Linked DNA regions of Nothobranchius furzeri. The protein of the gene in region 2 interacts with the protein of the main gene of each other region in a pairwise test. Links are inferred from orthologs where the notes say so. Each region holds a gene or a part of one and is shown on either strand. Other genes may lie near its edges.

Region 1 (2,425 bases), on a different chromosome or scaffold from region 2:
GTTATTATTTCTTACGTCAAATGGATTCAAACTGATTCCCCTCCTACTTTTAATTATGCTAATTGAGGAAAAAGACGGCTTTATGTCAATGCAGCTGGTGTCTGGGGGATAAAACATTGTCGCAACATAATACAATGCGACAATAATCTGCAATAACAGTTGGGTACAGAGCCTGATGGCGAGTCAAGTCGTCACAAAGACAGCAGAGCAACAAAAGAACAAAAACGGAAGGATTCACGTTTGCCAGACATGTTTACACACAAGTTTTAGACATTTCAGCATGATTTAGTCCCACATTTACAATAATATCCTTTAATCACAAATGCTGACCAACAGCCCAAAACTCCTGCGCTCCTGTTGATTTCAGCCCATTTGGACACTTTCACACTGGTAGTTCGGTCTGATTTAGGAACAGATTTGTCCACCGCTCTGATCACAAGGGTATTTGATCTAAACAAACTCAGACCAGAGGTTTTTTTTTTTTATTAATTTGCTCTAGGGCTGCACAATATATAGAAAAATTATCGTCATCGGGATAACAGGACGTGCGATAGGCCCATCGCAAAGCACGCCAAAAACAGCGATAAATGTTTGGTTCAAACATTTCCATCTGTGTCATACATCAGCTTTTTGTAAACCAGCTCTGTTTTTTACGCGGAAGTATTATTCGACCAATCAAATGTAGCCCTTCTGATATGCGGCCAATCAGATGGGTCAGTTCACGTAATACGCCCGCCCCCTACGTAGACCATTAGGATGAAAGCATCACCCGAACTGAGTTAGCGGTGCCGTTCCCTTGTTCGTCATGCTGGCTCAGAGCAACGAACGCACTTTGTGCTGAGGTTTCTGGAATCAGCGCTGCTTTCAAACGTGAACGTGAGTCCGCTCGGTGTTGTTAATCATTTTTACCGGGTTGACTCCGAAACGTGCCAGTGAACCAATCCACCTTCATGTTGTTAGTGTTCCACCGGGTGGTGATGTTAGCCCCAGGCTCCGGTTAGCTTCCAGCTAAAAGGCTACAGCACTCTCCTGCTAAAGAGGGCCTGGAAAATATTGAGCTGCTTTTTAAGATCTAGGTAAACTTGTTCAATTTGGGGTTAAAAACAAACGTTTTCACATATTTTCCTTGTAGTTTTTTTTGCCAGTTCCTCTTCTGAAAGGCAGACAATTGTTTTTCTCTTTCCCTCAAAAAATCTTAATATTCTCCTAGTTTGGCCCAGGACAGATCACTTCCCAATTACAGCAACAGCCTTATCTCATAACCACATTAGTGGAGAAAATGTTCAGTAGCAATGAGAGAATTTGCTGTTGCATTTAAGTGATGTTGACTATTATTTAACATTTAAACTTACTTTCAGATTTTTTTATTTATTCAAAAACCCTGGTAAGGGATGTTTTTCTGTATTTGGAGCATCAGTAAATGTTCTATGGTGGAGGTGATGTTTTAAAGTCACTGAGGAACTGCATGCATGCAGTTTGCTGTTTTGCTGCTAATACAGTAGCAGGTGCAGCTGCATATTTTTGCAATAAAAATGTTATGTTGTAATGGAATTCATGCATTAGTTTTTGTTTGCTTTGAACCCAGAGCAGACGTCACACGCCAGACGACATCAACACTGCATACTTTAGTATTTGTTCATTTATCGCAAGTAATATCGAAATCGCAATATTAAGCACTGTTATCGAATATCGCAGGTTTTCCTAATATCGTGCAGCCCTAATTTGCTCTATAATTTCATTGTAGAAAGAGGGGTTGGCCCATGCACCAACAAGAGGAAAGAATGATGTAAAAGTGTGCGAAACACGTGTGAAAGCGCCTCAGAAGGGGTCGATCAAAGCGGCTCAGAGAATAAATGAACCCAGTGTGAAAGCTGTCCTGGATAATAATCAACCACAGACACACCGAAAGAGGAAGGAATCAGTCCGGTGTTAGAGCCTCACCATAACCCTCCATGAAACCAGTGGGTTAGCTTTGAGAAAAACAATTTAAAGCACCAGCGCTCACTTCCACAGCCTTTTCCAGAAGTCCCACTAACAACACAAACAGAGCTGAGCTCGTGGGTGCGCGGCTGCGTGCACTTACCCCTCTCACATCAAAACACACTTTTTAAGGTGGACACAGCCTGGAGTCTTTTCTTCCTTGCTGAGCTTATTGACCCGGTACAGCCTGATCTCCCGTACCAGAGTGTAAAAGGATTCTTCCACTTTCTGCAGTATAAGACACAACTTTCCTCAATGCTGAGGAATACGCAGGGGGAGGGGGACATACTGCATAGGTGCAAGTGTGATAAACTAAAGAAACAGAGTTAAACAGGCTGTCTTTTTTAAATGCGTCTTATTTAATAGGAAAGCTACCTCTGCAGGCTTGAAAAGGGGGTGTTTGTTTCATGATCATCTCAAACTAGAAAAACTGAATATCAATTCA
Region 2 (4,278 bases):
AAATAGGCTCCTGACGACATGATGTCACAAAGCACTTAAAACTTTTCTGTCAAACATTTTCTTCTTCTGTTTATTTTCTGCAAAAGAGCGTTTTCTCCCCATTAATCAGAGTTTGTCTCTGAACCCGTTCTGCTGTCCAGCCGTCACCAGGCGAGAGGCAGGAGACACCTGGGGCCAGGCGGGAGGCGGGGGACACCTGGGGCCAGGTGGGAGGCGGGGGACACCTGGGGCCAGGCGGGGGGCACCTGGGGCCAGGCGGGAGGCGGGGGGCACCTGGGGCCAGGCGGGAGGCGGGGGGCACCTGGGGCCAGGCGGGAGGCGGGAGACACCTGGGGCCAGGCGGGAGGCGGGGGGCACCTGGGGCCAGGTGGGAGGCGGGGGACACCTGGGGCCAGGCGGGAGGCGGGGGACACCTGGGGCCAGGCGGGAGGCGGGGGGCACCTGGGGCCAGGTGGGAGGCGGGGGACACCTGGGGCCAGGCGGGAGGCGGGGGACACCTGGGGCCAGGCGGGGGGCACCTGGGGCCAGGCGGGAGGCGGGGGGCACCTGGGGCCAGGCGGGAGGCGGGGGACACCTGGGGCCAGGCGGGAGGCGGGAGACACCTGGGGCCAGGCGGGGGGCACCTGGGGCCAGGCGGGAGGCGGGGGACACCTGGGGCCAGGCGGGAGGCGGGAGACACCTGGGGCCAGGCGGGAGGCGGGAGACACCTGGGGCCAGGCGGGAGGCGGGAGACACCTGGGGCCAGGCGGGGGGCACCTGGGGCCAGGCGGGAGGCGGGGGACACCTGGGGCCAGGCGGGAGGCGGGGGGCCTCGTTTTAAAAAATTTCTAATGTGATCAGCTGTTTCTGTATCACATCCCTCCTCCTGGGATCTTTCTGCATGGAGTTTGCATGTTCTCCCTGTGCACGCGTGGGGTCTGTCTGGGTACTACGGCTTCCTCCCACCATCCAAAAACATGACTGTTAGGTTAATTGGTTTGTCTAAATTGTCCTTAGGTGTGAGTGTGTGTGCAGGATTGTTTGTCCTGTGTGTCTCTGTGTTGCCCTGCGATGGACTGGCTCTCTGTCCAGGGTGTACCCTGCCTACTTGCCCGTTGACTGCCTTGAGATTGGGTCATAATGAATCTGTTCAGTTTGAAGCTGCAGAAGACTCTAAAGATAACCTTTGAAATGTTTAAAGTCTACCCGTGAACTCTAGCGGGAACTAAATGTGGATTAATCATGGGACATTAGTGGCTGTGTCGGGTTTTAAACCGTTTTCTGTGTTTTGTCTCCAGACGTCCACGCCTTCGGTGAAACTCACCGTTTCTGCTCTGGGGAGAGAAGCTCCAACAGCAGAGACAACATCAACAGTAGGTTTGGGGCTCCAGAGACACTTTTTACATGAAATTAAAGAAATGTCTGCATTCAGGGTTAAGTTCTCAGGTGGAGTTCAAACCAACTTTATTTAAAAAGCACCATTTCACCACAAGCGCTGAACAAAAGCTGTTATGTTATGCAGTCGTGATCCTAATAATAAGATGAGCGTTAGCTTCATCTGGACCTGCAGGCAATGACACAGACATCAAACCCACACTGGTAAACAGGAAGTCCAGATCAGGAGAGCTTGGGAACTACAAGCTCCGCCTCCCACGCTGGTCCTTCAGGCCAGGCTGAAGACCAATGGTGCTGCTGTGGCCCCCAGACTCTGGACCTCTCTCCCCCTGAGCCTGAGATCAGTGGACTCCTTTAAACTGGCCTGTTCAGGCTTTGGTGGGACCCCCTCTTCATCCTCTTCTTCCTCACTAGCTTCTCCTCATGCTGCTGTTTCTACCAGTTCTGCCTTTCTCGGGATCCTGTGTTACATTTTCCCTTTTTTATTATTAAATCGTTTGATCGTTTTCTTTTTTACTTGAGGCTCTCTAAACGGGGCATCCGCGGGTCCTTAAAGGGTCTTAAATGTGCTTTTCCAAATTTAAGGCCTTAAAAATCCTTAAAAATGACAAATTATCCTTAAATCCAGTTTCCAAGTGTCTTAAATTGCCAAAGACCCAATAAACAACACACAAGATTCTTTTATGTCTATAAAAATGTTGTGAATTTCTAGTTAGTGTTCAGCATTTTTTGTGTACGATGTTGGCGTAAGCGGAACCGTACGCATTCAGTTGGTTGTGAAAGGGGCTATTTTTAGATGAGCACGTTAGCTGGTTAAGCTAGTGGGAGCTTGCGCCATGGGGAAGTGCAAGTTTAATGGTAACTAGATGGCTAATCCCACGTTCGCGACGTGGTTAGCACCGCTTCCAGGCAATAACTGGAAATTATAGCTTAAATTTGGTCAAAGTGGCCTTAAAAAAAGGTCTTAAAGTCTTAAATTTGGCCTCCTTAAACCTGCAGATACCCCGTTTCTTCCTTTGGAACCACCTTCAGTAACGCTGCAGCTCTGAAGCGCTTCTAACCCTGTCCGCTGACAGGAGTGCAGTGATGGCGCTGTCAGTCACAAACACATGCTAATGCAGGACACAAAGCTCCTGATTTCTGAGACCTTGTTCAGATAAAAACATAAAAAAAACCTGATGAATTAGTTTTAGTACAAACAAAGTTAAGTCATCTATTACCTTCCTGTTTCCTCCCTCCTCCAGTTCTGGGAGTGCACGTCTCTGTCGTCTCTTGACACCTCCGGGATGGGATCCAGCTCTGGTTCCGCCTCAGGCTCCAGCAGCGCCTCCTCCTCCTCCGTCTCCTCCTCCACGCCGCTGTCGGCCTCTCGCTCACACAAACGCTCGGTGTCGGCGGTGTCGAACTACTCCACGCTGTCGCTGCCGCTCTACAACCAGCAGGTGGACGACTGCTGCATCATCCGGGTGAGCCTGGATGTGGAGAACGGCAACATGTACAAGAGCATCCTGGTGAGAGCGGAGCAACCTTTCTGCCTTTTACGCTTCAGGAATGGCGTCTAATGAATACGTGACCTTTGGGTTAACTCAGGTGACGAGTCAGGACAAGACTCCCGCCGTCATCAGGAAGGCCATGATCAAACACAACCTGGAGCGGGAGAAAACCGAGGAATACGAGCTGATGCAGAAACTCTCAGAGGACAAAGGTGAAGGCAGAAAATGAATCCATGCATCGCGGGTTCTCCTGACGAGAATAAATAAGATGTAGCTACTGCTACCGGGCAGACCCCCACCTGCCATGTGGGGTCACTAACATTAGCTTAGCTTCACAACCAGACCAGCTCCTTCACTGCTGCTGGTGATCAGATGCGAGTCTGGGTTGCCATGGTGACGACACTATCTGTAACAGCAGCTTTTCTCGTGGATCTGACCAATAAAAGCCTCTTATTTAACCGCATTAATGCGTTTGTTCCGCAGAGCTCCGGATACCCGACAACGCCAACGTCTTCTACGCCATGAACTCCACTGCCAACTACGACTTTGTGCTGAAGAAGCGAGGCCCGGCGCGGCCGCCGCGGGCCAAGAACGTGGCCAGCTCCACGCTGCCTCGCATGAAGCAGAAGGGACTGAAAATCGCCAAGGGGATTTTCTGAGGGGGGCGGGATGCTCGCCACTTCCTGCCTCCTAACCGCCATTTCCCCCCTGGTGTGGTTGCTCCTCTTTGGGAGACGACCTGAAGTGTCCACGCTTTAGTTCGGACAGCGGCAGAAACGTTGGAGGACGAACCGACTGGTGTTTCCGTGGAGTCGCAGGAAGCAGAGGAGCACTTTAGCACTTAGCTGCTCAGCAGCTGTCTGCGTTTCCGAAACTCACCTGTGGGGAAAAGCAGCCTCTGTTCTCGGCACTACGGCAACCCTTTATGTCATTTATGGAAAATTATTAAGAGTTCCTGATCCATCACCTTTTGTTTACAGCAGTTTACGACCACGTTCACTTTTACACGCCGTGACTCTTCTGGCACTCCCCCAACCCTAACCACACACACACACACACACACACACACACACACCCCTAACGGACCGGTGGGCGGCGCAGACACTGCAGCTGTCAGAATGTGTTTCTGTGGTTCAGGGAGCTTCAGCTCCGAATGCGTCGGGATGCGCGTTGGCCCTGACGTGCTACAAAAAAACTGGAGACCTGTCAAAGCGCAGTGGGCGTGGCCACGAGTCTGGCCCTGCTGTTTGTTATGTTACTAACACACGTTAACCACTACATCCTGGAGGGCGAGCATCGTCCTTGGACCGCGACTGAAAGCAGACGGAGTGTAAATATGTCTCGTAGGAGACTCCTGTTGTTGTTGATGTTTTGTTGTTTACTTCTCTGCTCTCACATGGTGCTGTCACTC
Region 3 (3,655 bases), on a different chromosome or scaffold from region 2:
AAAAAGTGAGGACCCAAAAAATGTCCTCACATAGGGAAAATGGTCAAAATGGTCCTCAGTATGCAGTATGTAGAAGAACACACACACACACACACACACACACACACACACACACACACACACACACACACATACAAATGTTTGTTTTAAACAGTTTTTCCTTCCTCCATATACATTAGTCAAGCCTTACCCGATTTACTATATGCTTACCACGGCTGGAATGCTATCCAGGGTTTGTGTTGCGTGCGTCGTCGTCGTCGTCCCCCCCCCCCGCGCAGACTGACATTTTCATTTCCTGTCTAGTTGACTGTTATACGTTGTATAACACGCCAGCTGTGTTATAGCGGGGAAACATTTAATTTGATCTAGGTTTCTTTAGCCTCATGCAGGTGATTACCCTGATTTTTGTGTTGTTTGTCTGTATCATTTGGGGTGAGTCTGCTCTGTAGACATCCACGTAACACCACCTCGTCTGATTTCACAGCTTTGAAGAAATCTACAAATTCCAAAGACAGATTCTTCGGGTCAAAGACCGAGACGAATTTCCCATGATCCTCGTAGGAAACAAAGCAGATCTGGATCTACAGAGACAAGTAAGTTTGCATTGATCCGAAACCCTCTGACTGACAAACGCAAGCGTCGTTTTTATCATCCAAGGAGATTTGAGCGGGTCTGAAGGGATTCACAGTTGTGTGCTTTACAGTGAGCGTGTTGCAGCTGCAGCTGGTTTCTAAGATACGACAGGATGTGAACAGAAAAATGAGAGAGTCTGCAGGAACTGGGGTGTCAGAAGGGGAGGATTGATGGGGAAGAAGGAGCATGATGAAATGAAGACTTTTAACTGTTGGGATTCAATCACCTGTCTTTTTCATGTGATGCCACATCGCCCCCTACTGGTTAAAATAAATATCTCTTGAAGGCACAGTTAACTTTCTATGAATCCGTTTAAGCATTTTGCATCACATAAAATTCCCCTTTTCTAAATTGTCTCACCTTCAGGTGTAGGTATAGGTATCGCCATTAGAATGACGGTGACCAAATTGTACATGAAAGTCTGTAAACATCCAAACGGCAACTCAACAATAGCAGCCGATATAGTGACTGACATTGCTAACATGCACGCTCAGCCCATCTTTCTGCATTCTGCCTCATATCTCACGCACATTTTTAAATCACGAGTCTGAATGCAAATTTTTTGCAGAGTCCCAGATGTCCTCTACATGCTAATGAGACTGCTTGAGATCTGGTTTGGCTTTATGAACATGTTCTGTTTAAATAAAGAAAAGTAAGGAGGAAAGCACCATAGGGTGCTTCTCTAAAGATGGAACCGAGTTTAATTATTAAAACGACAAAGGTGAAACTCAATGGGTAAAGTTGGTTAAACTGTTCCTGGGAGACGAGTCAAGTTTGCTGAATGATCGTGGTATTCTTTTTTTTTTTTTTTACCTCATTCATAAGTTAAGACAAGAATTACTCAAATATAAACATAAACACTGTCAGAGGATGGTGTTTGGGTTGTCCCGTGCATTTGTGTTTGGTGTCAGTGTTTTTCTGTTTATTTTTTTTGGCACAGGTAACCCAGGAAGAGGGCCAGCAGCTGGCCAGACAGTTAAAGGTCACGTATATGGAGGCTTCAGCCAAAATCCGAATGAACGTAGACCAAGCTTTCCACGAGCTGGTTAGAGTAATCAGGTATGTCCTTCCCATTACCAATGATCAAACCGTTACTGTTGTTGATCCTTCTCAGAAATCAGTAAAAAACACAAACAATATGTTTTCTGTTAATGTGACGACCAAAATAAAGAGATAAGAAGTAACCTGGGGGACTCACAACAGTAGCAACTGTTGCTAGGAAATACTTTTTGCCGTGTTTTTCTTTTTTTACTTTTTAGGACGAATTGGAAATAATCGTATTGATATCAGAAAACTGTATACACACGTCTTTTGTTGTCCGTGACTTCAAATGGTGTTTTTCGTTTTGGGACTCTGGCAGTTTGCCCTAAAGATGAAGTGGTAGCAGCCGACTGTTTCTCCTTCTCTGATATCAATGTGCGGAGGACTCTGTGGTCTAGTGAGACAACCGTATGGTCCAGTCGGTGGTTTTGGGCCAACATGGAAGCAGTCCGCGAATGTACACACACACACACACACACATCACGCCTGGAAAATTTGCAGGGGAATCACTGGGTTGATCTAATGGTTGCCACACCAGGGCCGCGTTAAAATAAAATAAACTGCTTGACATTATAATCGATTATGATATTCTTCCACAACGATTCATAACTAGATAAACTGCATTTCTTGCAGGAATGCTGTTTGAATGCTGGATAGCTTAAACTGTTAGCTGAATCAGCTTAATAGCTGAACTGAAGCTGAAAGTAAGCAAAACTGTCAAAATGAGCTGAATGTGTTGAAAGGTGTAGAAGGAAAAATCACCAACAAGCAAATAAAGCACAAAAAGTAAGTGAAGAATGGAGAAAAGTTATCCTAAATAGCAGAAAATTGAAATCTGTGAACATTGTATAAAAATCTGGACAGCTAAAATGTCTAAACACCTGTTATTTCAGTTGGACAAATTTAACAGTTTAATCTTTACATTTAGCTGAACTGTGAAATTAGCAGCTTATGTATGGAGCTAGGATTGGGACAATATTCAGCGTAACTTGTACCAAGTTTTGTAACTTCGATCATGTTTCATCACATGTAACTTTGGATTCGTAACTTTAGTTTTCTTTTAATTCTCAATTCGTACTTGTATTGTTTTGTAACAGGAACATTGTATTTTGTACATGTATTTTTTATTTTGTAAAATCAAACTTTTATTTTGTACATTTACTACTCATTTTGTAACATCAAACATTCATTCAGAAACATGAAACTTTCGTTTTGTAACTAGCAGACTTCCAAATTGAAAAAATCAAGGTACAAGTTTGCAATCAAAACTCTCAAAACACACATTTCATTCTACAGGTACAAACCTCAAATCTACAGTGTTACAGATCTTTTTGTCTCGATTCTAGAGTCAGTGGGAGGAACTTGGGTGAAACCAATGAGAGCACGAGTCTTAGCTACCAATCACGTTTCTCGAATTCCTGTCCAATCATTGGGAGAGGAAGGCAGGGTTCTGTCAGAGCTGTAGAGAGAGTTACGACACGGAATGCGGGAGCATGGGTTTCAATGAGACAGAATCAGGGTCTGTCCTCTTCTAAGGTTTGTAGAGAAAGAAATGTAACCCTTAAGAACAAAATGAAACCCATTCTGAAAAGCTGACAAAAATTCCTACTTTTTGAGATATGATTTGTTTCTGTACTCCAAACGGTCTGGGTGTTGGAAAGAGTTGTTTCCAGAAAACGTGAAGGTCAAAAGTTAGAGTGTGGAATTTTCAGTTTAGAGTGGTGAGAGACATTTTTTAAATTTTGAATATTGTCAAAGAAATGAACCGTACGACCACAATGTTTGGAGTACATTCATGAGTTATAGCTCAAAACGAAGGTATATCCGTTAGCTGCAAGCCAGCATGCGTCTCATTTCAATCGGACTTAAATCATTCACTGCCATTGACGACTAAAGTCGTCATTTTAGATCCAACCGTTCACTGCCAATGACGACTAAAATCGTCATTTGCATTTTTTTACTGTTAGAGCATCGGAACGAG

Evidence for each region.
Region 1: the proteins of ralgds (region 2) and kras interact in a two-hybrid assay, tested with the Homo sapiens proteins (3 studies listed by BioGRID and IntAct). The link is inferred for Nothobranchius furzeri from reciprocal best matches to the Homo sapiens genes RALGDS and KRAS.
Region 3: the proteins of ralgds (region 2) and rras2 interact in a two-hybrid assay, tested with the Homo sapiens proteins (2 studies listed by BioGRID and IntAct). The link is inferred for Nothobranchius furzeri from reciprocal best matches to the Homo sapiens genes RALGDS and RRAS2.

The regions. Positions count from the first base shown.
Region 1 is NC_091744.1:73,826,208-73,828,632, reverse strand, and holds part of kras (GTPase KRas), read right to left. Parts: intron 2,209-2,425; coding exon 2,089-2,208; 3' UTR 2,084-2,088; intron 1-2,083. UniProt on the Homo sapiens protein: Ras proteins bind GDP/GTP and possess intrinsic GTPase activity. Plays an important role in the regulation of cell proliferation.
Region 2 is NC_091750.1:38,647,250-38,651,527, reverse strand, and holds the end of ralgds (ral guanine nucleotide dissociation stimulator), read left to right. Parts: intron 1-1,277; coding exon 1,278-1,352; intron 1,353-2,618; coding exon 2,619-2,885; intron 2,886-2,964; coding exon 2,965-3,079; intron 3,080-3,350; coding exon 3,351-3,526; 3' UTR 3,527-3,702; downstream 3,703-4,278. UniProt on the Homo sapiens protein: Functions as a guanine nucleotide exchange factor (GEF) activating either RalA or RalB GTPases and plays an important role in intracellular transport. Interacts and acts as an effector molecule for R-Ras, H-Ras, K-Ras, and Rap.
Region 3 is NC_091749.1:61,821,030-61,824,684, reverse strand, and holds part of rras2 (ras-related protein R-Ras2), read left to right. Parts: intron 1-484; coding exon 485-593; intron 594-1,573; coding exon 1,574-1,692; intron 1,693-3,655. UniProt on the Homo sapiens protein: GTP-binding protein with GTPase activity, involved in the regulation of MAPK signaling pathway and thereby controlling multiple cellular processes. Regulates craniofacial development.